3 linked regions of the Tamandua tetradactyla genome follow. The protein of the gene in region 1 interacts with the protein of each later gene in a biochemical or structural test. Links are inferred from orthologs where the notes say so. Each region holds a gene or a part of one and is shown in the gene's direction. Other genes may lie near its edges.

Evidence for each region.
Region 2: the proteins of JAG1 (region 1) and NOTCH1 form a complex in vitro, tested with the Homo sapiens proteins (3 studies listed by BioGRID and IntAct, with this or other methods). The link is inferred for Tamandua tetradactyla from reciprocal best matches to the Homo sapiens genes JAG1 and NOTCH1.
Region 3: the proteins of JAG1 (region 1) and NOTCH2 form a complex in vitro, tested with the Homo sapiens proteins (2 studies listed by BioGRID). The link is inferred for Tamandua tetradactyla from reciprocal best matches to the Homo sapiens genes JAG1 and NOTCH2.

Annotation. Positions count from the first base shown.
Region 1 is NC_135327.1:50,133,306-50,140,440, forward strand, and holds the start of JAG1 (protein jagged-1), read left to right. Parts: upstream 1-4,133; coding exon 4,134-4,214; intron 4,215-4,677; coding exon 4,678-4,983; intron 4,984-7,135. UniProt on the Homo sapiens protein: Ligand for multiple Notch receptors and involved in the mediation of Notch signaling. May be involved in cell-fate decisions during hematopoiesis. Seems to be involved in early and late stages of mammalian cardiovascular development.
Region 2 is NC_135328.1:126,089,843-126,097,181, reverse strand, and holds the start of NOTCH1 (neurogenic locus notch homolog protein 1), read left to right. Parts: upstream 1-4,239; 5' UTR 4,240-4,246; coding exon 4,247-4,304; intron 4,305-5,991; coding exon 5,992-6,073; intron 6,074-7,339. UniProt on the Homo sapiens protein: Functions as a receptor for membrane-bound ligands Jagged-1 (JAG1), Jagged-2 (JAG2) and Delta-1 (DLL1) to regulate cell-fate determination.
Region 3 is NC_135337.1:641,677-649,015, forward strand, and holds the start of NOTCH2 (neurogenic locus notch homolog protein 2), read left to right. Parts: upstream 1-4,273; 5' UTR 4,274-4,515; coding exon 4,516-4,588; intron 4,589-7,339. UniProt on the Homo sapiens protein: Functions as a receptor for membrane-bound ligands Jagged-1 (JAG1), Jagged-2 (JAG2) and Delta-1 (DLL1) to regulate cell-fate determination.

The DNA of each region.
Region 1 (7,135 bases):
TAGGAATTAGGGAGAAAAGGAATGGGGGAAAGGAACCACCTTCCTTTTGTTTATTTACCACCTAGGTGTTATCTATCGATCATTACAAATGGACCTTCCATTCCAGAGAACTTAAGTTCAATATTTTGGTATTGCCCATCTTATTCTTGGCACCCTGCACAATACCCGGCACACACAGGACTTCAATCACTATTTTCCCCAACATTTTATAATGAAAAAATTTCAAACATACAGAAATTGGAAGGAATTTTACAGTGAATACAAGTATACCCCTATCTGGGTCTTCTTGCATTAGCTTATCTATCCATCCAGCCATCCCTCTATCCACCCATCATTTCCTCTAGTATTTAAGGCATTTCTAAGTTGCAGATATCATTTCACTTCCCCCTAAATGTTTCAGCACCCATATAATTAACTCGAGTGGAATGCATTTAAAATTCTTTTTCTTACATGAACACATAATGAAATACACCCATCTCCAGTGTACTATTTAATGATTTTGACAGATGCATATAGCTGTGTCAGCCAGACCCCTCGTCAAGATCCAGAACATTACTCACCTTCTGAAGGAATCACAACTCTCTTTTTAAGCACTCTTCACCTCCCAACCCCTAAGCCATCACTTCCTATAAATTTTTTGTCATAGATTAATGTTAACTGTTCTAGAACTTCATATACATGGATTCATACAGTATGCTGTCTTTAGTATCTGGCTTCTTTCACTCAGTATATTTTTTTAGATCATCCATGTTACTATGTGTTGACAGTGGTTCTCAGCTGATTTTTATCAGTGTCGATTAATAGGGAATTCAACTAACCAAGTATTTAAATACAGCTAACACCCTTTGATTCTCTCTTATTAAGCCAGTTGGGGGTTCAGGGCTGCTGTTTGTTGATGACTCAGGAAAGGTGGGGCAAGTTTTGTAGTAAAAAAGAAAAACGAGGCATTATTTTTTTTAAATTAAAGGCAAAAAATATATCCAAGGAAGGCTATGATTTGAGCACAGGAGACAGGCCAGGCAGTAACTGACTGTAAGCCTTGCCCCTTCTCTCAGGTGTGAAAGCTAAATAGCATTATTTTCACAGAACTTTCTTGGGGCATTTGTTTACACTTGGAAGGCTATGTCCAAAGGCAGGAAACAGCCTGGCCAAGGGGAAATCTCCACATTTGAGTTCTTTTGGCAGCAGGTCCCCATTTTTGAGGGAATGAGGGATTTCCACTCATTGTCTATTGCATTAAACACTACTGGCTTTTGGGGGGGGGGGGGGGACTATCAACTAATTGGAAGAGCCCTGACTGAAAATTTTCAAAGATTTCCCTCTAACCTACAACTGTTTTCTGAGTGAGTTCCCAAGCTCAGGAAGGGTGAGGGGGCACTGTGCTATTTGGCATGAGAGTTTTGTGTTGTTTATTAGTGATTGCTTTGGCATTCTTGCGTTAATTTGGGAGTTGCAACCCCTCAGAAATCTATGCTGTTTCTTACTAGTCAGAGGCCAAACTCACCCATGGACAGGAAGCAACCCTGGTTTACCAGCAATCCTAGGGAGTGTTCTGTGGTAAAGCCAAGTGACAGATTCTAAACTCTTCAAGGCCTGGCTCCAAAGCCTCCTTCCTGGGGGTGGAATGGGGTGGGGGGCAGGACAAAGAGACAAAACAGGTGGGAACATGACGAACCCCAAATCCCCAAATTCTGTGCATTGTCTTCAGGAATTATGCTTTTTTTCTGCACCAACATTTTGCTTTTTGATCATTACTTAGCACCACAATTTATGGAGATTTAGGAGTGGAGGCAGGGAGGAGGTGGGATCCAGACAGGGATATTGGTTTACAGAGAAAGTGGTGAGGAACGGCTAGATGGGATTAGAGGACCAGTGGACGCACTGTAATTAAGATAATTGTGGGAAGGGTGCCGGGGCAACTCAAGAGAAAAGACTGCCTGCCCAGCTGCCAGTATGACCTATTACACACTTGTTCTCTTGGATGTAGCCCTTCCAAAACTTCACTCACCAATGATTATCACAGCGGGACAGATTACCATGAAGGCACCTTTCCTAGCAGCTTTTCTTGGACTGTTTAAATGCCCATATTCCTAATCCATCCTTGGTGGCTTTGAATCAATTTAGAAGAGCCTCCTTATTTGATTCCCCAGCATGATGAGATCTGGCGCTGAAAATATTGTCCATATTGAGCCTTCTACCAAATGCGCTTAAGTAGATAATAACGCAAAGCATCTACTCTTTTACACTCTTACAGCTCAACCCGTTGGAAACTATTTTCCTTTGAGCCACTACAGCCCACCATCCTTCACAGCCCCGGAGGGTTCAAGCCCAAAACTGAACCCTGAATAGTCGTGCTTTTCCGTAGGACATACTCAAAGTAAGGTCCAAAACTGCTTGATCTTCAATGGGAGACAATCTTTCCCTAAAGATGTCTCCTCAGACACAGCAAGCAGGCCCGCTGGGAAGGGTGCTTGGTAATTGCTTCGGCCAGCTCGCGGGTCTCCTCAGACCTTGGCTATGACTGTTGGGTCTCACTGTTAAGTGTGAGCTTGCCTCCAAGTGGAAAATACCATCAGTTTCCCTGCCACCCCAGAGAAGGCAAGGCTCTGCTGCTGGGCGGTGGCGGTGGCGGCGGCGAGACGGCCCCTTCCAGATACAGCCTCGTGCCACCCAGAAAGCTGCTCGGAGGCCGCCTACAGGTGCAATCCCGTCACTGCAGCCCAGGCGGCGAGGAGGGTGCGCGTTCGAGCCCACCAGTATCTCTGCCCGCCCGCCACCCAAAGCCTACTACCGGCCCTGCGAGCCCGACCCCCTCCGCCCCCACCCACTCGCCCCGGATTCCCCGCGGCCCCGCCCTGGCGCAGTTTGGAAAGGAAGCTGGGAGTCCTCCGAGAGAGACTCCAAGACTCGAATTGGGGTGAGGGGGGGGACAGGGGGGATCGCGGCCGAGGCTTCCCCTCGAATTTGCGGCAAGCCTGGCTCCGGGAAAGTTTTTCAAAGTTCCCAGCAGCGCCTGCCCAGGTCGCCTCCGCCGGGCGAACAGGCGGCGGCAAGCGCGCCAGCCTCGCCGCCGCCTCTGCCGCCAGCGGAGCGCTCTGGGCGGCTCGCTCCTCGCGGGAAGCGGGCCGGGCTCCCGGCGGGCAGGCGCTACTCCCGGGCGAAAGCCGCAGCTGACGCAGGCGGGTCGGAAGGCGGAAGCTGCCCAGCTCAGGCAGCCCCACGGCCCCTACACCTGGGACCCCGACGGGTGGGCTGAGATACCCAGCTTGGGGCGTGCGAGGGAAACAGGCCGCGCGCGGCAACCCCAGGCGCCCACGTGGCCCCCAAGTCCGTGAGCCCCTGGCCCCTGCCAGGTTCCTCCCTCTGAACCCCCACCCCACTCAAGAACGCCCACCCCGCCTCCCCCACCAGCCACGCCAATCTCAGAGCTCCCGAGGGCGGGGGTCTGCACGGGGCCCCGAGACATCAGACCGCCCCGCGCGCCTCAGAACACCCAGCCCCAGCCAAGTTCCTCCCAGCTGCCCCTGCCCCTCCTCCCCATCACCCTGGGAGGAGAGGGCGTGGCCTGAGTGGGACCGCCCCTCATGAATATTAATAAGGGCGCATGCGCCCTGCCCAGGCGCTGGGTAGAGGTGGCCAGCCCGGGCCGCGGCTCCCAGACGGGCTCTCCGGGTCCCTCTCTGAGAGCTGGGCGGGAGCGCGGCATTGTGTTACCTGCGGTCGGCCCGCGAGCAGGACTCAGGTTTTTTTTTTTCCCTCCCCTCCCACCTCCTTTCCATGCAGCTGATCTGAAAAGGAATAAAAGGCTGCGCATAATCATAATAATAAAAGAAGGGGAGAGCGAGAGAGGGAAAGAAAGCCGGGAGGTGGAAGAGGAGGGGGAGCGCCTCAAAGAAGCGATCGGAATAATAAAAGGAGGCCGGGCTCTCTGCCTTCTGGAACCCGCCGCTCTTGAAAGGCCTTTTGAAAAGTGGTGTTGTTTGCCAGTCGTGCATGCTCCAATCGGCGGAGTATATTAGAGCCGGGACGCGGCGGCCGCAGGAGCAGCGGCGACGGCAGTACCGGCGAGAGCACCAGCGCGAGCAGCAGCGGCGGCGTCGGCGTCCCGAGTGCCCGCGGCGCGCGGCGCAGCGATGCGGTCCCCACGGACGCGCGGCCGGCCGGGGCGCCCCCTGAGCCTCCTGCTCGCCCTGCTCTGCGCCCTGCGAACCAAGGTAGGAGCCCGCCGCGCCTGCCCTGTCGCCAGGCCTCCCTCTGCCACCCTCTCCCTTCCCTCGCGGCGCTGAGGACGCCGGCGGCGGGCTCGGCGACCCTTGGACGCCTGGCTGACCGTACCCCGCGCCTGAGTGGCTGCACCTGGGCTGGGCGCGCCCGCTTTCTCCCTGGCAGCCCCGGGCCTCCTAAGCGTGGCCACTGAGGCTGAAAGGAGGTGCGTTTGTTCTCCTCCTGGATCCCCGCGGAGTCAGTCAGGCTTCTCCCGCACTCGTGCATTTTGTGCCTCTAAATCACGTCGCGTCCTCGAACCCAGTTCTGCAAAATTATTTTCACTTGGCGCTGAGTCTCGCCAGAGCTAGCGAGCGAGCGAGCGGGCGGGCGGGGAGGGAGTTGCCACCTCCACCCTCGAAGGAAACTACTTCCCTCCGCGCTGACCTACCTTCCTCCCTCCCTCGCCGGCAGGTGTGCGGGGCTTCTGGTCAGTTTGAGTTGGAGATCCTGTCCATGCAGAACGTGAACGGGGAGCTGCAGAACGGGAACTGCTGCAGCGGCGCCCGCAACCCCGCGGACCGCAAGTGCGCCCGCGACGAGTGTAACACGTACTTCAAAGTATGCCTCAAGGAGTACCAGTCCCGCGTCACGGCCGGGGGCCCCTGCAGCTTCGGCTCAGGGTCCACGCCTGTCATAGGGGGCAACACCTTCAACCTTAAGGTCAGCCGCGGTAACAGCCGCAACCGCATCGTGCTGCCTTTCAGTTTCTCCTGGCCGGTAAGTGACGGACGCGGGGAGGGGAGGCCCGGTCGAGGGTCGCACTCCTGCGAGGTCGAGTTCAGCGTGCCCCGGTGAAGGGAATTTAAAGGGCCTTGGCTTGAAACTCGACGCTAACTGGGGAAGGCTTTTGGGAGCGGGGAGTTAGGGAGCTGAGGCCCTATAGTTACATCTTGGCGGGACCTGACTGAGCGGGCCCCAACCCCCTGCCGTTTGCCAAACTCGCAAAAGTAGGGATCCCAGTGGGGCTTGGGGATCAATAGAGGTCCCAGGAATGCGGGTTTAAACTTGCACCTTGAGGGCCGTGGAGTAACCGCCCAAGCCTCGGGGTGGTCATTATAGGTGGTCTCTTTGCTTAACCAATTAAACCTGGTGCGCGGTGGAAGGAAAACTGTTCTGGCCTGCTAACGCCGTCCAATTTGGCACTCTCCCCGTTCCCGCGAGCCGCCGGGAGGGCGGGTGTGTCCTTCCTGGAGCGGGTGGGGAGACCCGTTTCCCGCTTCTCCCCCGGAGTTTTTTGGTGTGTGCGGGGGCGCGCTCTGGGCCTGGAGCACGGGCCCGGGAGCGGCCGCCAAAGGGGGGCCTCGGGGCCCTTGCCCGGGCAGTCGGGCGGTGAGCCTCCGCCTCCTGCCGGCCCCTTCCTGCCCCCGCCCCCGCTCGGTGCAACTCTTTTGGCCTCACTTCCAGCGATTCCCCAGCACTGGAACAGCTGTGTTCGCAAACTTCCCGGGGAAGGGCGGGGGTGCGAGCGGGCGCCCTGTCCCGCAGGCCTTCGGGGGCGTGCCAAAAGGAGTGGAAGGGGCGGCTCGCCGGAGGCTGTGACTGCAAATGCAAGTGCAGGGACCCTCACCCCTCTCCACTGCCCCCCAGAGCCGCTCCAGTCCCGGGCCCAGCTGACGTGCCCCGCCACGAAGCCGTTGCAAAATCTGAAATGGGTGGAAGGAAGATGGGTGCGATTACAGAAGGGGAGGAAAGGGAAATGTTGGGGGTGCCCTTTGCCTGGCTTCTCCTGTCCAGGAGGCGTGACTCATTGCCAGGCCTGGGCTTGGCCCAGCCTGAGCTGGGGGGTGGGGTGGGGACTGGGTGCCTGGAGGAATGTTCTCCGCCACGTGCTCTGCGGGGATGCCCTCTGCTGCCTCCTGTCGTGGACTCGGGCTGTGATCCTCCACCCGGGGAGGTGGGAAGGCGAGGGATAGAGTGCCAGGTCGGGTCTGAGCTCTGGGAGACTTTTAGGGCTCACGTTGCAGGAGCTGGTGACGTCCTCGGCCTTGTGTGAGATGAGACCATTATCAAAAATGTGCCACTGAAGGGGAAAGGGGCTTCTAAAAACCTGTGGTATATGGAGTCCTCAGATTGGAGGGGCTGCTTCTGTTGTGGCACTTGTTTTTACAAAGAGTGCTTATCTTGTTTGCTAATCCCCTATTAGGGAGAATTTTTAAGCTAACAAGACTCGCCACTTTTAAATCTGGCTATGAGTTAAACTGAATACTGACTGCCCTCTGATGTGTATTTGGAATTTAGGAGGAAGGGGTTGCAGGTGTTTTTGCCCTCCCAGTCAGAGCCCCTTGCTTTTCACACCACCATAAAAGGAATCTTATTAGTGATGTGGAAAAGCAGTAAGCCTGGCTGAGGTCCGTTTTGGAGGATAGAGTCAGAGAATGGCTTAGATGAAAACTGGGAGCCGTGTTCTCCCGGCTGGCTTGGGGAAAGTGACCTAGAAGGTGTGTCTGTCCCTTTTTGACACTTGGCAGAGAGTTTCCTCTGGATGGAAGAAGAACGGAAGCAGCATGCGAGGGCAGCGGAAACATTTGATCTGCTGGTGCCTTCTGTGGTTTCAGGCCTGCGGGTCACTGACCGTGAAATAGACTGTTGGCTCTTCTAGAATGGGGGACCAGGGGGCATACACTGCGAGTGTGGTTCTTTTGAAGCTGGGCCAAATGTGTATATCATGCATAAATAAGTCTCCGCCCCAGTTCTCCAAAAAAGGCCTCCTGTGAAACATAAGCTCCACTTCCCAAGAGAAATTGCAGTTTAGGTATGTTGCTTTATTTTCCTGACTGTGATTGGAACTCCACCATAAGTGACTTCCAAGAATGACTTCAGGGTGAGTGTAAACTTAAGTGAAAGGTAGCTGAAAAGGACTGAAGTAGAC
Region 2 (7,339 bases), on another chromosome or scaffold:
CATGGAGGGTATGGGCTGGCCAGCCAGGAGTTAGGGCCCCGCTTGCTTGGTGGACTTGCACGGGGAGACCAGGGTCTCGGACCCTGTGTCCTCTTCCTGCGGGCTGTCCGTCAGTCATCTGGTCGGTGAACAAACCTTCCGGAAGCATCCATGGTGGGTGCTGGGGACCAGGCAGACACCAGCCCGGCCCTGCCCTGCTTTCAGGGGCTCACACCTTTGAGGAGTCAGGCAGGGACAAACGGGGGGGGCTCATTTCAGGTGGAGGACACCAGTTATGCCAAGCTTGGAGGCAAGAGAGAGGGGACAGACGGAATCCAGCCTGCCCTGGTGGGTGCAGAGCCCCAGGGGCCTCCTCCAGCACTGTGGGGTCCTCTAAGGACATGTGGTGGGTGGGCAACTGGGCTGAGTGGGCCTCTACATAGGAGAGGGGGAGGGGACAGGGAATCAAAACCAAGGCCCAGTCTGACCCCTCTCCACTCTCAGAAGGCGGGAGAAGCCCTCCTAGGTGGCCTGATCCCCTACTGGTACGAACCCACCCTCAGGAAGCAGCAGAGAGGAGCTGGCCGACACCCACCATCATGCCCTCCTTGCACGGCGACAAGCCTTGCCGTCCAGGGTCTGGCAGAGGTGGACTGGGTGCTGAGTCGTGACCCATCCCTCTGCATTAATGCCCCACGGCCACCAGAAGCAACTTATTCTGTGACAGCCGGCCCTCAGGGAAACGCTTGAGGTGGTTTCAAAGTGGAAAAAGGCAGCCAGGACTTTAGAAGGCATTCGATAGACAGGGAAACTGAGGCCCAGGGGTCAAAAGTGCCTAGGGTTGGCCAGCTGGTCAGCAGTGGTATCCAGAATAGAGCCCAGTGCTCTGGCTCCAGCTTTGCAAGCACGTCACAGAGTCTTTTACCATCAACTTAAAAAGACAGAGGGCTCCCACCCTTTAGTATTCTGGAATTCCCCCATACCCTTGGAGCTAGCTCCAACCCCGAAGGTCAGGCCAGTTCCCCAGCCTCAGGCCGTACTTTCCTGTGCCCTAAATCGAACAATGTGAGCCAGAGGACAGGTGTCCCCAGAAGCGTTATCAGTGCACACAGCCCACTGCAGCCTTCAGGGGCCCCTGCCCTAGCGGTCGGATGCTGCTGAAGAACTGGGCCTGGCCAGCCCTGAGAAGGCACTGAGCCTCGGCTTCCTCACCTGAGATGAGAAATGGGGAGACACATGCCTCCTCCCCCTTCCAGGGCTGCCCCCTAGGCTCCTAGTGAAAGAAAAGGGGCCTTACCCTTTTTTCTCAGCCCTGGCTGCACCTTGGAATTTCCTGGGAAGCTTCTGATACCACTGGCACCCCCACCCCCCACCCGCAAACCAGGCTAGAGCCAGTTTGGTCTGAGTTAAGGTTGCTGAATCCGGGCTGAGTATACAGCAGTCGCTCCAGAAATGCCTCTTTATTTACCTTGGGATGTATTCTGACCTCAGAAGGACTTGTGGATGGCATGGGGGACAGGGATGGGGTGTGCTTTGGGGGACAGGAATGGCCCAAGGTCAGCAGGGCCTCCCCAGCTCAGCCTGAAGGCAGCAGCCCTGTATCTGGGGGGCCTGTAGAAGAGGGTGGCTGCCAGACACCCCAGGCATCCCTCTGCACCCAGACCCCATGGCTTCCCCTCCCTTCCACCCCCCACAGGTTCTAGGACTCCAGTCACTCGGGGTCTGTCCAGGGGGTGTCCCTGGGAACCTTGTCCTGACTCCCACCATGGAAGCCGCTTCATGATCTGGAGGGGTTGCAGCCCCCGTTTAGCCTCTTGCAGACCCACCAATGTCCCCCCACGGGGTTCTGGAGCGGCCAAGCTGTGCTGGGTTTATCCTTAGCCCCCCAAAACCCGCTCCCCGGGGCTTCCTCGGGCTGCCTGCCCTGTTGGAGAAGTTTCAACAGGCTGTCCTGGCCTTACCCCAGCTTGGTCAGGATCCCCATTCCCCACGCCACCCAAGACCCCTGGATAAGGAGGGACCAGGACCAGGGAGGCCAGAATTCTCTGGCCTCATTTGTGAATAAAAAAGCTTAACATCCACTTGTCAGGGCCAGGCCCACCCCCTTCCCAGGCCCAGAGGGGAACCCCACCCCCCATCTACCTTGGCTATATTCCCTCTCCAGCTTCAGGCACTTGCACTTCTCCCTTTCCTGGGATGCCCCCACCCCCAGCTGTCTTTGGGAACCCCCCAGGGGACCACAGAGCCCTGGCAGCCGAGTAACCTGTGCACTCAGCTTTATCCCTGGTGAGCATCAAGTGTCTGTTCTCTTCCGGCTGGTGAGGCCCAGAAGGAAGGGGCTGTGGGTACACCTGGGCTCACACCAGAGAGGGACTCTGGTCCAGTGCTCCCCTGCTCCCAGCCATAGCCAGACTTCAGATGGGAGAGAACTCACTTCAAAGCCAGGGCTGGAGGTGCTTTGCCTTTCGGCCTGGGGCTCTCTGGGTGGAGTGGCAGGGATGGGGTGAGCAATGTGTGCCCAGAGTCCTGAGCCTGTGAATGGGGGGTAGGGGACAGGAAAGGGGTCTGTGCAGCACTGTTCTTCCTTCTAGGGGAAAATCTGTACCAGGCTGCCCAGCAGTCGGGCTGCTGTGATATAAACATTCCAGCTGCCTCCAGGCTCCTCCTCTCCGGGGCACTGCCCCGGGGAAGTTACCAGGCGCCCTGAGAGTGCAGCCACCTCCTGGAAGGAGGCAGCAAGGAAGGCTTCCCTCAGCAGCTGCCAGGGCCTGGGATGGCTGCCCGGGGTACTTGGGGCAGGGTGTCAGCTGCTGCCACTGTCCGGCAACAGGTGTGCCCTGAGCAGCGGTGAAATGCCGCACCACCAGGCGCCTCTCCAAGCAAGGGCCGCCTCCTCCGGAAGCCTCCGGGATTTCTGCGGTCCCGCGGCGTCTGGTGTTCATCGTGCTCGGCCGGGCCAGTTCCCGCTCGGCCTTTAGCCTCAGCTGGGGCCTCGTTTCCTCCAGAAAGGAAGCCAGGGCCAGGGCTGGGTTGCTGCGCCTCCAGCCATTGCACTCACCCCCTGTGTCGTGATGGGGTGGTGGGCGGCTGCCTGTCCGTGGCACTCGTTCTTGAACTTTGGTTATGCCGGCATCCTGGACGCCTAGTGCTCAAACGGGCTTGGCACAGGATGCCCTAGGAGAAGGAACCCGCCCGGAAGGAGCACGTGGGAGGGGCCGAGTTGGCGCCGGCGCTGGGTCTGCGCGGCCCTGGCGGGGTTTCCGGGGCCACCTGAGGCAGGGGGTGGCGGGGACAGTTTGAGGGCAGTGACGAAGGAGCATTGAGTTCAGCGGGGCCCTGCTTGGGCGAGCAGATGCACTCTCCACGCCGCAAGGCAGTGGCCCTGGGCTCTTCCCTCGAGGCGCCCAAAATCTTCACCACAGAGGCCCAGGGCGCGGCACCACCTTCGTTCAGGGTCAGGTGGTACGGTCTTTACTACCAGGACGTCTGGTGTCGGTGCCCGGTCCCCCAGGGTTTAAAGCCGCTGCCCTTGGGCACCCGCGAAAGGAGCCACGCGGTTCCGCGCGCACCCACGGACGCGGAGGGCGCGACTCCTCTCCGAGCCTCGGTCCCGGGATCTCCCAAACTTGGCCTCGGCCGCCTCTGGTCCCGAACCCAGCGCCTCTCCGGGAACGGCTCCCGCGCCTCCCCTGCCATTGAGATGCAAATGTCTCAATTGGCACCCAGAGAGGACGCCACCAGAAGGGATCCTTCCGCGGCCCGGGGCCAAACTTTGGGCCTCGGGAAACTTTCGAACGAGAAGTAGTCCCAGCGCTAGCCCGACCTCCCTCCGGACGCCCTGGCGCCCTGTTTCAGCCTGGGAGACCCTGGTTCCCTCCGGCGTGTCCAGCCCGAGTGGGCGCGGGGCCCGTCCCGGGCGCAAGGGGCGCGGGCGCGGAAGGATTGGCGGGGCGGGGCCCCGAGGCGGGGCCGGGGGCGTGGCGCGCGTCGGGGGCGGAGTGCACGGCCGCCCCGCGCCTCACTAGTGCCTCGGCTGCGGGAGGGAGCGCAGGGCCGCGGGGTGCGGGGCGCGGGGCGCCGGAAAGCGGAGGGCCCGGCGGAGAGCCGATCCGGCAGCTGGGAGACCGCGGGATCGCAACGCCCTCCCGCCGGCCGGGAAGGAGAGGAGGAGCCGCCCGTGGGACCCTCCGGAGTCAGAGTGCGCCCCAGCCCGGCCGGCCCCGCGCAGGAGGCCGCCCCGGGCGCAGCGGGCAGCCGGCGGGCAGGCATGCCGCCCCTGGCGCCGCTGCTCTGCCTGGCGCTGCTGCCCGCACTCACCGCACGAGGTGAGCGTCCGCGCCACGGGGCCCCACGACTTGCAGCGCCCTTGCAAACTTTGGCGGCTACCCGAGTCCGCGCTCCGGGCTGCGGAGGAGGGTACTGGGAGGCTCGAAGCAGCGGGGTACCCGGGAGGGGGACGGTGGGGGTGAGGGATCGGGAGTTCTGGGCACGGGAGAGAGGCGAACATCACCCCCCTCCCGATCGGGGAGGACCCGCGCTCTCTGACCCTGGGGACTGCGCCTGGAGCCGGCTTTGGAACCAGGTTTGAAGCCGGCTTTGAAGCCGGGTGTGGCGGGCCAGGGGCCCGGGCCCTTGGTCGCGTCCTAAACCAGCTACGCGTGGGTCTCGCAGCCGGGGCGGGCGGGCTGCCTACGACTTTTCGATTTGAATCGAGTCGGGCTCGGTTTCCTGTTGCTCCTCCGGGCCATTTATCTTCTTTCTTCTCCACCTTCCCGCGCGGAGTGCGGGGTCCGGGGCTCTGCGTTCACTTTGGCAAACCCTCGCCGCCGAATCGGCTTCCTGACCCTTTAGGAAAGCCGGCGCAGGGCCGCCGCGGGGCTGCGGGGTACACTCACTCCCTTGGCTCCATCAGTCCCCCCACCCCCCCACCCCATGACCACCCCCGGCCCTGCTCACAAACTTCTCGGTGAAGGGTGAGGGTGAGGGTGAGGGGCGGTGGGTGTGCAGAGCCTCAGCTGCTCCAGGATAGGACTGGTTTTCGCTTTGTAGAGTTCACATTTGGGGATTTTGAGAGGGGGGGTCGGTGGAGGGGGCACTAATTCCTCTCCCTTCCTCCCGGGAATCTAGTGCGGGTTAATTCCTCTCTTTCTCAAAAAGCTGGAGGCAAGAGTTTTCTTCTTCCAGAAAGCAGAGTTCCATGTCTTTGCGGCTGCTGCCCCAACAGAGGGACTCCTCTTACCCTGTCCTGCTAAGATGCGGAGGGAGGGGCTTCATTGATTGGTCCCTTCCCAGAAGTGGCGTTGAATTCTTTTCCAAACGGGGGCTGTTCACCCCACTCCCTGGGTGTGTTCGGGGGCAGCCCCTGGAGATGGCCCTCCTGCCGGAGCAGGTATTGGGTGTCCGAAAGGCGGGGCCAGGTCTGGGGTTGGGGGCTGCGGGTGCAGTCCCCCAGGCCCCAGGAGGCGGCCCAACCCGACAATGAGCTGCTCTGATTCTGCGGCCGGGGCTTTGTTGGCGGGCGGGGCTCCGCAGCTGTCGCATTTTCCCACGAGCAGGGAGCTGAGTTTGGCCGTCCCCTGGCCCACTGCCCCCCTCGCCAGGGTGTTTGAACAGCGAGCCAATGGCAATGGCTGAGTGTGGGCCCCCTGCCCAAGCCGGCGGGGCTGCCTGATGAAGAATGGGGTGGGGGGGGCACACAAAGTTTGGGAGAATGTCCCTAGGTTATCTCGGCTCTACTCCGCAGCAGCCCAGGTGGTCTCCCCCACGCCGGGCACCACCCCATCCACCTGCCAACCTGCCCCCTTCCCCATTTCCCCATCCAGCTCACTGGGCTGAGTGCTGAAGCCCTTGAATTTCCTGTAGTGGGTGGGTGGAGGGGCAGTCCCGATGTTCCCTGACCCCGATGTCAGGGTGGGCTGTCTGTCGGTCTCCAGAGGTGGGTGGCTTGGGGAGGGGAGGGCCTGGGACTCAAGGCGCAGGCCACGCTGACCTCTCGTCTCTACCTCTCCCCAGGCCTGCGCTGTTCCCAGCCCGGGGAGTCCTGCCTGAACGGCGGCAAGTGTGAAGTGTTGGCCAACGGCACGGAGGCCTGTGTGTGAGTATGCGCCCCGCGGGACCTGTTGCTTAGTCGGGAGCGGGAGCCCCTGCCCGCTGTGGCGCTGGGGACAGAACACTGGCCCATTGTCTTGCGGAGATGGCCCAGAAGGCTGGGCGTGGTCACGTGCTGACTTTTATTGGACAAAGTCTGGCAATTACTTAATCACCAGTAATTATGCTGCATTCGAAGCAGGAGCTGAAGCAGGTCTGGCCGCTGGGTTCCAGCACTCCCGTTTCGAGGCAGGCTTACCGGGGCTCTCAGTGGGAATCTCCTGCACCCTGTTTCTTCCTGAAGTCTCCAGTGGGCCTGCCCCGGGGCTCAGGGCCAGTGACAGGGGGGCCCAGTTCCCACCGCCTTTTACCTGGAGAGCACCTCCTTGGGGCAGGTGGTGCCTCCTCTGGGCAGGTGAGCGCCTCCTGTGCAGGTGAGCCTCTCATCAGGATATTGACTATTTCAAAACCAAACCCAACTGGCTGGGCTGTCTGCCTCTCCAAGTTCATTCCTTCCTCGCTTCAGGGTGAGGCTGGGGAGAGGGCTCGAGCCCCTTGGCCTCCCTTTCTCCCGGCACGGGGGTGGGGTGGGGGGAGTCTGCCTTCCCTTTGGCGTCTGCCTTCCCTTTGACTCCCACCTCCCCATTGCCGAGGCCCGCCGGCCCCCACCCTGGCCTCGGTTTCCCCGGCTGCAGATTGGGCACAGGTGCAGTGCAGTCTGCAGCCCCATCCTGACGCCCATAGGAAATCTGTTCAGAAGGGCACTGTCTGTGACAGCCGTTCGGCCTCGGCCAAGTGTCTGCTCTGGGCCAGTGCCCTTCAACTTGAGTTCTTCCCTGATGAGAAGGACGAGCAGATCTTGGTGGCTGCAGGAAAAAGTCCCTTCCTCCCTGCCTCGGGAGACTGCCCATGAAGAAGTGGCTCTTGGCTGAGCCGACTGCCCTCGTTCCAACTGTCGAGGGGCCCCTTACCCCGGCCAGTCCCCAGCCCCCTGCTCGGGCTCTGCCCCGCTCTGGCTGCCCAGCCTGTTGGCGTGCTACCTCCACCCCCTTCGGCCCCCCACCCTCCTTGAACTCAAGCCAATTAAGCAGGCCTGGAGCAGTGCCCCTTTGTCCGTCTCTAATGAATGCACACTACTTTTTTTTTTTTTTTTTTGCTTTTTGGGGCCTTTTTCTCCCCCAGCAGAAGCCTCGCCGCCGCCACCGATGCTTGCTGCCCTAAATCTTGTTTCCTTTCATTCAGAGCCCGACAGCTGGGATTCAGTGGAAGTGCG
Region 3 (7,339 bases), on another chromosome or scaffold:
TTAGCCTGGCATTCTCCAAGACATCTAGACTTTCCACCAATTTTTCAAGACACCGTATATCCCCAGTTTATACAGACATATGTTTTCTTCGTTCAACATTTATTTAAAATGTATACATTGAGGACGTATGTGCTCCACTGTGCTAGAAACTGGGTGAAAATGGATAAGGAAGATTTTTGCCCTCGAGGAGTTTTACAGCCTATTTGTCTGAGAAGAACAGACATGACCACAAATAAATGCATTTCTACTTTGGTTTGGGGAGACGATTTTAAATGTGAATTTTATGTGTAAAGACATAAGTATAGTTTTAGTTTTGATTAAAATTAAAACCAGTGGGGGCCCTTGTCCATGGTTTTCTACTGATAATGGTCTGTAGATTTTTATTTGGCTCTGGAGACTGAGATCCCCTTTTTTTTCCCAATGAAATTTTGTGGGATCCCATCTTTCTCTGCACGAGTGAAGCTATGCAGAGAACTTCAAGGATGAGTGATGGCTATGATTAGTTATGGGATCACTTGAACGTTTTCCTGCCAATTTCTCCTATAAAGTAGGATTTGCTTTGACTAGAAGTATTGTCCTTAAGGAAGATCATTCACAATCCAGTTGAGTAATTAAATTGCTGAGTACATTTGGGGTTGATATTCCCAGAAAGATCCTGGAATTTCATGTCAGCAGCTACTCCAATTGTGAGACAACACCACAAGTCCCCTTGATTTTTAATGTATTAGGAAAATATTCAACTAAAAGTACACTATGGGATTTAGGCTTAGCTTTGAGAAGAGTCCAATAGCAGAAGGCATATTTCAGTGCAACTCCATCTTCTTAGTCAGGTCTCGCCCAGTTCTCCTTAAAGTATTCAAAACCTATTGCTTTTACTCCTGAAGACAGTTCTCCCTCTTCCAGTTAGACTGATCTCTTGCCTACTTATCTTCACCAAATCTCCTCTTCCTTCTCCAATATTCCCCATATCTAGAAACAGCCCCGTCATGTCTCAAGGCACTGTGTTCATTGCTGATTCCTTGATCTACCTTCAGTCTTTCACCTAAGCAGTCACTCTATCCTCACAGCCCCTGCTTAAATTCTTATTTTCTTAAAGTTAGGGAACAGGCTCTGGTCTCTTTTGTTTACCTGCCTCTACATTTGCTATTCCTTGGGTCTGGAACACCCCTAAACCTCTACACATGTGAAATCTCTTTTTTTTCTTTATTTTTTGCCTGGTTAAATGAACCCTTTGGTCCCTTATCTCTCAGTCCTGCTGTTGGGTTCCTCGCAGAAGCCTTCTACGCCCACCTCTAGGCTGGCTTAGGATTCACCACCTCTCCGCTGTGAACCCAAACACTCTGTACTTGCCACACTCATTGTTGGCTTACTTGTCTGTCTCTCCTTAAGCTGTATCCTCAACCCCTAGCACAGCGTCTGACCCATGGTAGATGATCATTAAAATGCTAGTTGATGGGTTGGACTTATTTCTTCTCATCTCTTGGTCTTTGCAGATTCCAGTTTCTTCTCTTGATTTTAAGCTCCTCACATTTTTTGTTTTTAACAGTTATGCCCATAACTTCCCACAAAATCTGTCTTTCAAAACATCTCTTCAGTTGCAGCCTTTATTTCAACTTCCATTCATAAACATTTACCCTTCATTTCTCTTGTCCTTACAGGAACATAACATTTTAACAAATCTAGCAAAATTATACATGAAAAAAGCACTGCTTTTTTAAAAAGTCACCTTGAGAAATTGTACACCTATTTAGTCATTTCTGGAGCTGCTCTTTGGGGATGATTACCTTCCGAGTACATTCTTCTGAGTCTATTTTTATAGTGACATCTTCAATTTTTGCAGGTGATTTTCAAAACTTCTATAGAGCCAAGAAACTATGAACAATATCTATTGAGTAAAGAGGATGATCAAGCTGAGGAATACCTCGATTTGGGTCAAAAAGTAAAAAAACTATGAACACAATTGCACATGAGAAAGTCCAAAACTGTTTTGACTAATTATGTCATTTTTGAAGTGTTTCTATCCTTTCAAGGTGATTACTTTCAGCTATCGTATTTGCTTATCTGTTAGAAAGTGCTTGTTAAAATAAGTTCTGGCCTATTGTTCACATGATTTGCACTTGTTTAGTGTTGATCTACATTCTTAGATTGACAGCTACTATGTGATAGACAGAGGGCGCGGCATGCACAGAAGTATATGGCCACGGTCCTTGCCCAAAAGGATGTCCTAATCCAGTTGAGGACAGACATACAAACAGTCCTGTGTGAAAAAGAGATGTCGGTGTAAGATAAAGAAGCAGTACACAGGACGTATTGTCTGTGAGGGGCAGGAATTTGTTACAATATTGGCAAAACCTGCTCAGGATTGAAGGATGAATGATGATTAGAAGTTTACCACGTGGAGGAGGGAGGGGCTAGAAGAGTGTTTCCAAACCAAGGGAACAGAAGGTACAGAGACTAGAACAGCAAGGTATGCTTGGGGAATCTCACGTTGTTCAATACTGTCATTGTATCAAGCTCAAAATGGGGCATGGAGGAGGAAAGGAGGCTGGAGACTAAGCAGGGGGTCAGTGAGAGAAAGGCGTTGTGTGTAGCATTTTTAGGAGCTTGGATTTTTAGGAGCTTGGACTTTATCTCACAGGAGCCAGGGAGAGGTTCTGTGGGTAGGATTTCTCATTCAACTGGATTGTAAACTCCCTAATGCAATTAGTCATACAGGTTTGCACCACCTCACCCCCACCCCCACCGTTTCCTTCTCCGCCTCCCCCCTTTCTGTAAAGCCAACTTCAGATCCATCGCTCGCCTTCCACTGTAACTTCCGCTTCATTATTAAGACCTTCATCACCTCACCCATACACTGTCTGACAATCTCCCTACCGGTCCTGGGGCTCAAGTTCACCTCTTTCTCCCTACAGTCAGTTTCGCACATGAGTATCAGAGCAACCTTCCTTTACATCTAGTCTCATCCCTGTTCAAAAACCTTCAGTGGTTCTCCACGGCTTGAGAGATAAGACCCTTATTTCTCTTTCTCAGCTTCTCGCTCAAGGTCTTACACAATCTAGTCCCAACCCTCCTCTCTCTAATTCCTCTCTCTGCTAACAGAGCCAGAACACATCTCACTTATTCCCTTCTCTGTGCCTTTGTTTTTATGGTGGCCTTCCCCTGGGATGCTACCCCACTATAACTTTTATCATTTATTTCAGCTCTTTTATTTTGTATGGCAAACCTATTTGTTTTCCTGCATGGTCACACCTTCACTCTTCTGTGCTGGAAGGAAACACCACTGGGTTATATTCTTTTACTATATATGCATGAATTCATAAATAATATATGGCATTGTTCGGGGGGATTAAATATACATAAGTGGCATTATAGTTTATGTCTCTTGCAATTAGACTTTCCCTATCATTTTGTTTTTAGGATTTATCCCCCCGACATAAATGAATAGCCTTCCATAGCTGACTTGCATTTCAATTTAAGTATATCCTATATTAATTATTCATTACTGTATTGGTGGGCATTTATGTTGTTTCCAAGTTTGGACTATTAGAAACAATGTTGCAACCAGTATCCTTAGCTTGTCTCCTTGTCCTATCCACATTTTAGTAAGCTTTCAAGATTTTGGTCTCATTGCAGCTTTTCCATCTGAGCCTTCCCTGAAGCCCTCGGCTCCCAGCAGTTTCTGCCTTCTGGACCCTACAGTAGCTTGAGCATCCAGAGTCTTTAGTATCATTTCGTTGAGACTAGCACACTGACAGGAGAAGTAAGGTGCTCAAGTAGTATTTGCCAAATGAATGAATGGTGCAACACAACCCAGCCGACGGCTCTGCTCATTCTGCATGGACTTTGGCGCCTTAGTCTGCAAGTCCTTCTCTGACAACAGTGGTCCTTCTCTACGGCGTTCCTTCGAGCTAGCAGGGGTGTGGGCATCATGCCCGTCTCGACGGGTGAGGTCTGTCCCTCTGCAAGTTCAAGATCTCGGCAGCCGTGGTATCTGCAGGTCACAGCCCTAACACGCACCCCCCTGGCCCTCCGCATGGCCCCGCGACGCCGTCTAGCTCCGACCGCGCGAAGGCGGGTCCCAGCGCGACCCCGGGCGGGGAAGGATGGCGCCGCGGGGAGGGGGCGAGGGCGGCGGGGCGGCGGCGGCTCGCAGCAGATCCTTCCGCGCGCAGCTCGGGCCGGCGCTTCTTCCTGCGGGAAACCCCTGGGTGCGAAGGCGGCGGGGCCGAGGCCGGGCGGCAGCGGGGCGGGGCTTGGCGGTGGGAGGAGGCGGCCGAGGCGGAAGGACACACGAGGCGGCTTCGTTGCACAGCCGAGAAAGTTTCAGCCAAACTTCGGGCGGCGGCGGAGGCGGTGGCGGGGTGGCGGTGCAAGGAGTCGAGGCATCTAAGCCTGAGTTTCGGGGCGAGCCGCCGCAGGAGGAGGCGAGGAGGGGAAAGCGGGGGCTCCTCTGTCGGGACCCCCTCCCCATGTGGCTCTGCCCAGGCGGCAGCGGCGGCGGCGGCGACCGAGAAGATGCCCACCCTGCGCCCCGCTCCGCTGTGGGCGCTGCTGGCGCTCGGGCTGTGTCGCCCGGGCCCCGCGCGCGGTGAGTATCGCGCGGAGGGGCGCTGTCCCCTGCGCCCGGGGCCGCGCACCGCCGCCCCCACCCCGGCCCGGGCCACCTGGGGCGCGCGTCCCCCCTCTTCCGTCCTCGTTTCTGTGGGCTCGGCCGCCGGCGCGGAGGGAGGCCACTGGGTTCCCGAAAGTTTGGGCATCGTCGGGCCCCTCCCTCGGCGCGCCCCCTCCCCCGCGCTCCGGGCCGCCGCCCACTGACCCACGCGCGTCTCCTTAGCCGGACGGAGGCCGGCCAGCCAGCCCGTCTCAGAAACCCCGGTTTCCGAGGACTCGAGTTCGGGGAATTGGGCAGTCTGGCCCTTTTGGTTCCGCGTTTCTTGGGGTCTGGGGAGAGCCGAGGGCGGGCTGACCCAGGCGAAGGGTCGGCGGCGGCGGACCGCGGTGGCGCTGAGCGAAGGAATGCCGGACTCCGGTGTGGAGAGCGGGGGCAGGGCCTCGAGCCCAAGGCTTGCACCTTCGCGGCCACGCTTTGCTTTGCCAAAGGGAGGCAGGCACACGGCCCGGGCGTGTGGGTCCCGCCTGGATGGGGACGGGGTTCCTCAGGGCGCCTGGGTTTTGACACTCCGACCGGATGGTCCCGAGGAGTTGGGTGTGTTTGGCTCGAGTTTTTGAAAGGTGGTGGCAGGAGCAGTGGGGAAACTGGTGTGGCTGCATGCTGAGCACATGATTTAAAAATCTCAACTGCTATTATTCTTTCCGAGGCGCGGAGCCCGGCCGCTGTTTCAGAGTCTGTGTCCAGCCCCAGGAATGTGGTGTGACGTTCGCCAAGTCCTCCAACCTGGCAGCACATTTGCTGCTCATTTGGCAGGATGGGGTGGGGACCTGGGGCGGGCGAGGAAAAGTGGATAGGTTAATTCATAGTGCCTCCTTAGAAAGCCTCTTTACGGTTGGATACTTGGAGCAGCCTTTCTAACCCAATTGGACCAAGGAAAGGAAATCAAATCATATCTCATGCATCTCACCCCCAATCTTAGATTCTAAAATTTTCAGACTGTTTTAATGGAAAGAGCGTGGGCTTTGGAGCCTTGCTCTGTAATCGAGGGTTCAAACCTGGCCCTGCTGTATGAGCTCACCAATAAAATGGAATGAAATTAACCCCTCTAATAGGATTAATTAAGAGAATGTATATAAAATCCCTGGTACTCAAAAGGTGTTTGGAAAGCCCTTTCAGAGCAGGGGCTGTTTTATTCTCTCTGTGCTCCCACTTCCCAGGAGATGGTGTCTTGTGCCTGTTTGTTCAGTTGAACTGAGCTGCCTCCTTCCTGAGCCTAATCTGGAGGGGTATTTTACCTTTACCAGAAAACTGATACACGAACCACGTCTTTTTTCAAAGAAAAGGTTAAGAAGATGATGAACTTCAGAAAAAATGGGTCTGTTCATTCTTACCAGGAAATGGATATTCTGATCACAGATGTTTTAAGAGAGAACAGGATCATTTACCAGGAGAAAACGTAGCGTTGGCTTATTCACATTCTGTCCTTCTTGGAAGATCCAGATTCTCCACACTCCTCTGTTCCTGAAAATTTCCGACGTGGCTTGGGAGGCTGTGTGACCATGAATCAAAACTGCACTTTCTGAAGCGTTTAATAAAAAGCACATGATGGTGTTTTGCCTTTCCTTTTTCTCTGAGCGAAATCTTTTGAACGAGTGTAGATTTAGGATGAAGTGTGGACAGTGGGCCAGTCTAAGCGTTACAGTCCTTGGCCTACCATTAACTGGTTTTCATAAATCATTTAAGCTTCATGTTGAGTCTTCATCTATGAAATAGGACTAAAGGAATAACCTAACCCACTTTAGAGAGTTATAGGAAATAACAAATGCTATTGTAAAGTGATTTGCAAAATGAAGGGTTCAGTGATAAGACTGATGTCAGAAATAGGATTAATGTGACCCATAGGGCTTCTTTGATTATAAGTTCAGTTGCCAAACTACTGTGATGGAAGACATGAAAGGCTGTTTCTTGGTGCAGATCTTAAATCTCAGATTCTAGCGGTGAAGTCTTCTTGGATCTGCAATCCAAAGCCATCGTGTTTTTACCAAGGTCTCACTGGTAATGCACCCTTCCAGCCTTTCCACTGATCCTGTGTTTGGCTTGTGGCCAGTTGTTAATTTAAACATCACTGAGTTCCTAAGCCAGGGAGCTGTCAGCCCTTCTGTCTGATTGTCTAAACAGTTATCCAGGACCACCTCTTGCTCCTTTTCTGCTTTTGCTTGCAATGGGAAGTGACTCCCTCGGTTTGCCGCCTGTTACATAATTTTTGAACTGAATTCTCTTCTTTTAAAAAAAATCACCAAGAGTAATTGCTTTTTCTTTCAGGTGAAGAGGAAATCTACCTTAAAGCTATTTTCCTTTTCCTTTTCTTTCTTCCTATTCCATATTTCCTTATAAAAATTCTTTCTATCTTATGATTATCTTTGGGGAGATGAGAATGATTGCGTTTAATCTCTTTTTCATGATGTTTTTACTTTTCTGAAAAGATTATCTTTAGCCACATCTCCTCACATCTCTCTGTCCAATTCCCACTCTGCTGCCTCTCCTCTAGACGTCTTATGCATAAGGGAGCAATTTTTGGTTCATCTGGATTCTAGTTACTCACTTCAGGTTCTTTAGAGAATGTTTAAATCAGTGGGATATGCTTGGATGCTTCAGAGAAGCCTTACAATACATTTTAAAAATATCCTACCCACAGAAATTCTATTTTGCCCACAAAATTTGCATTGA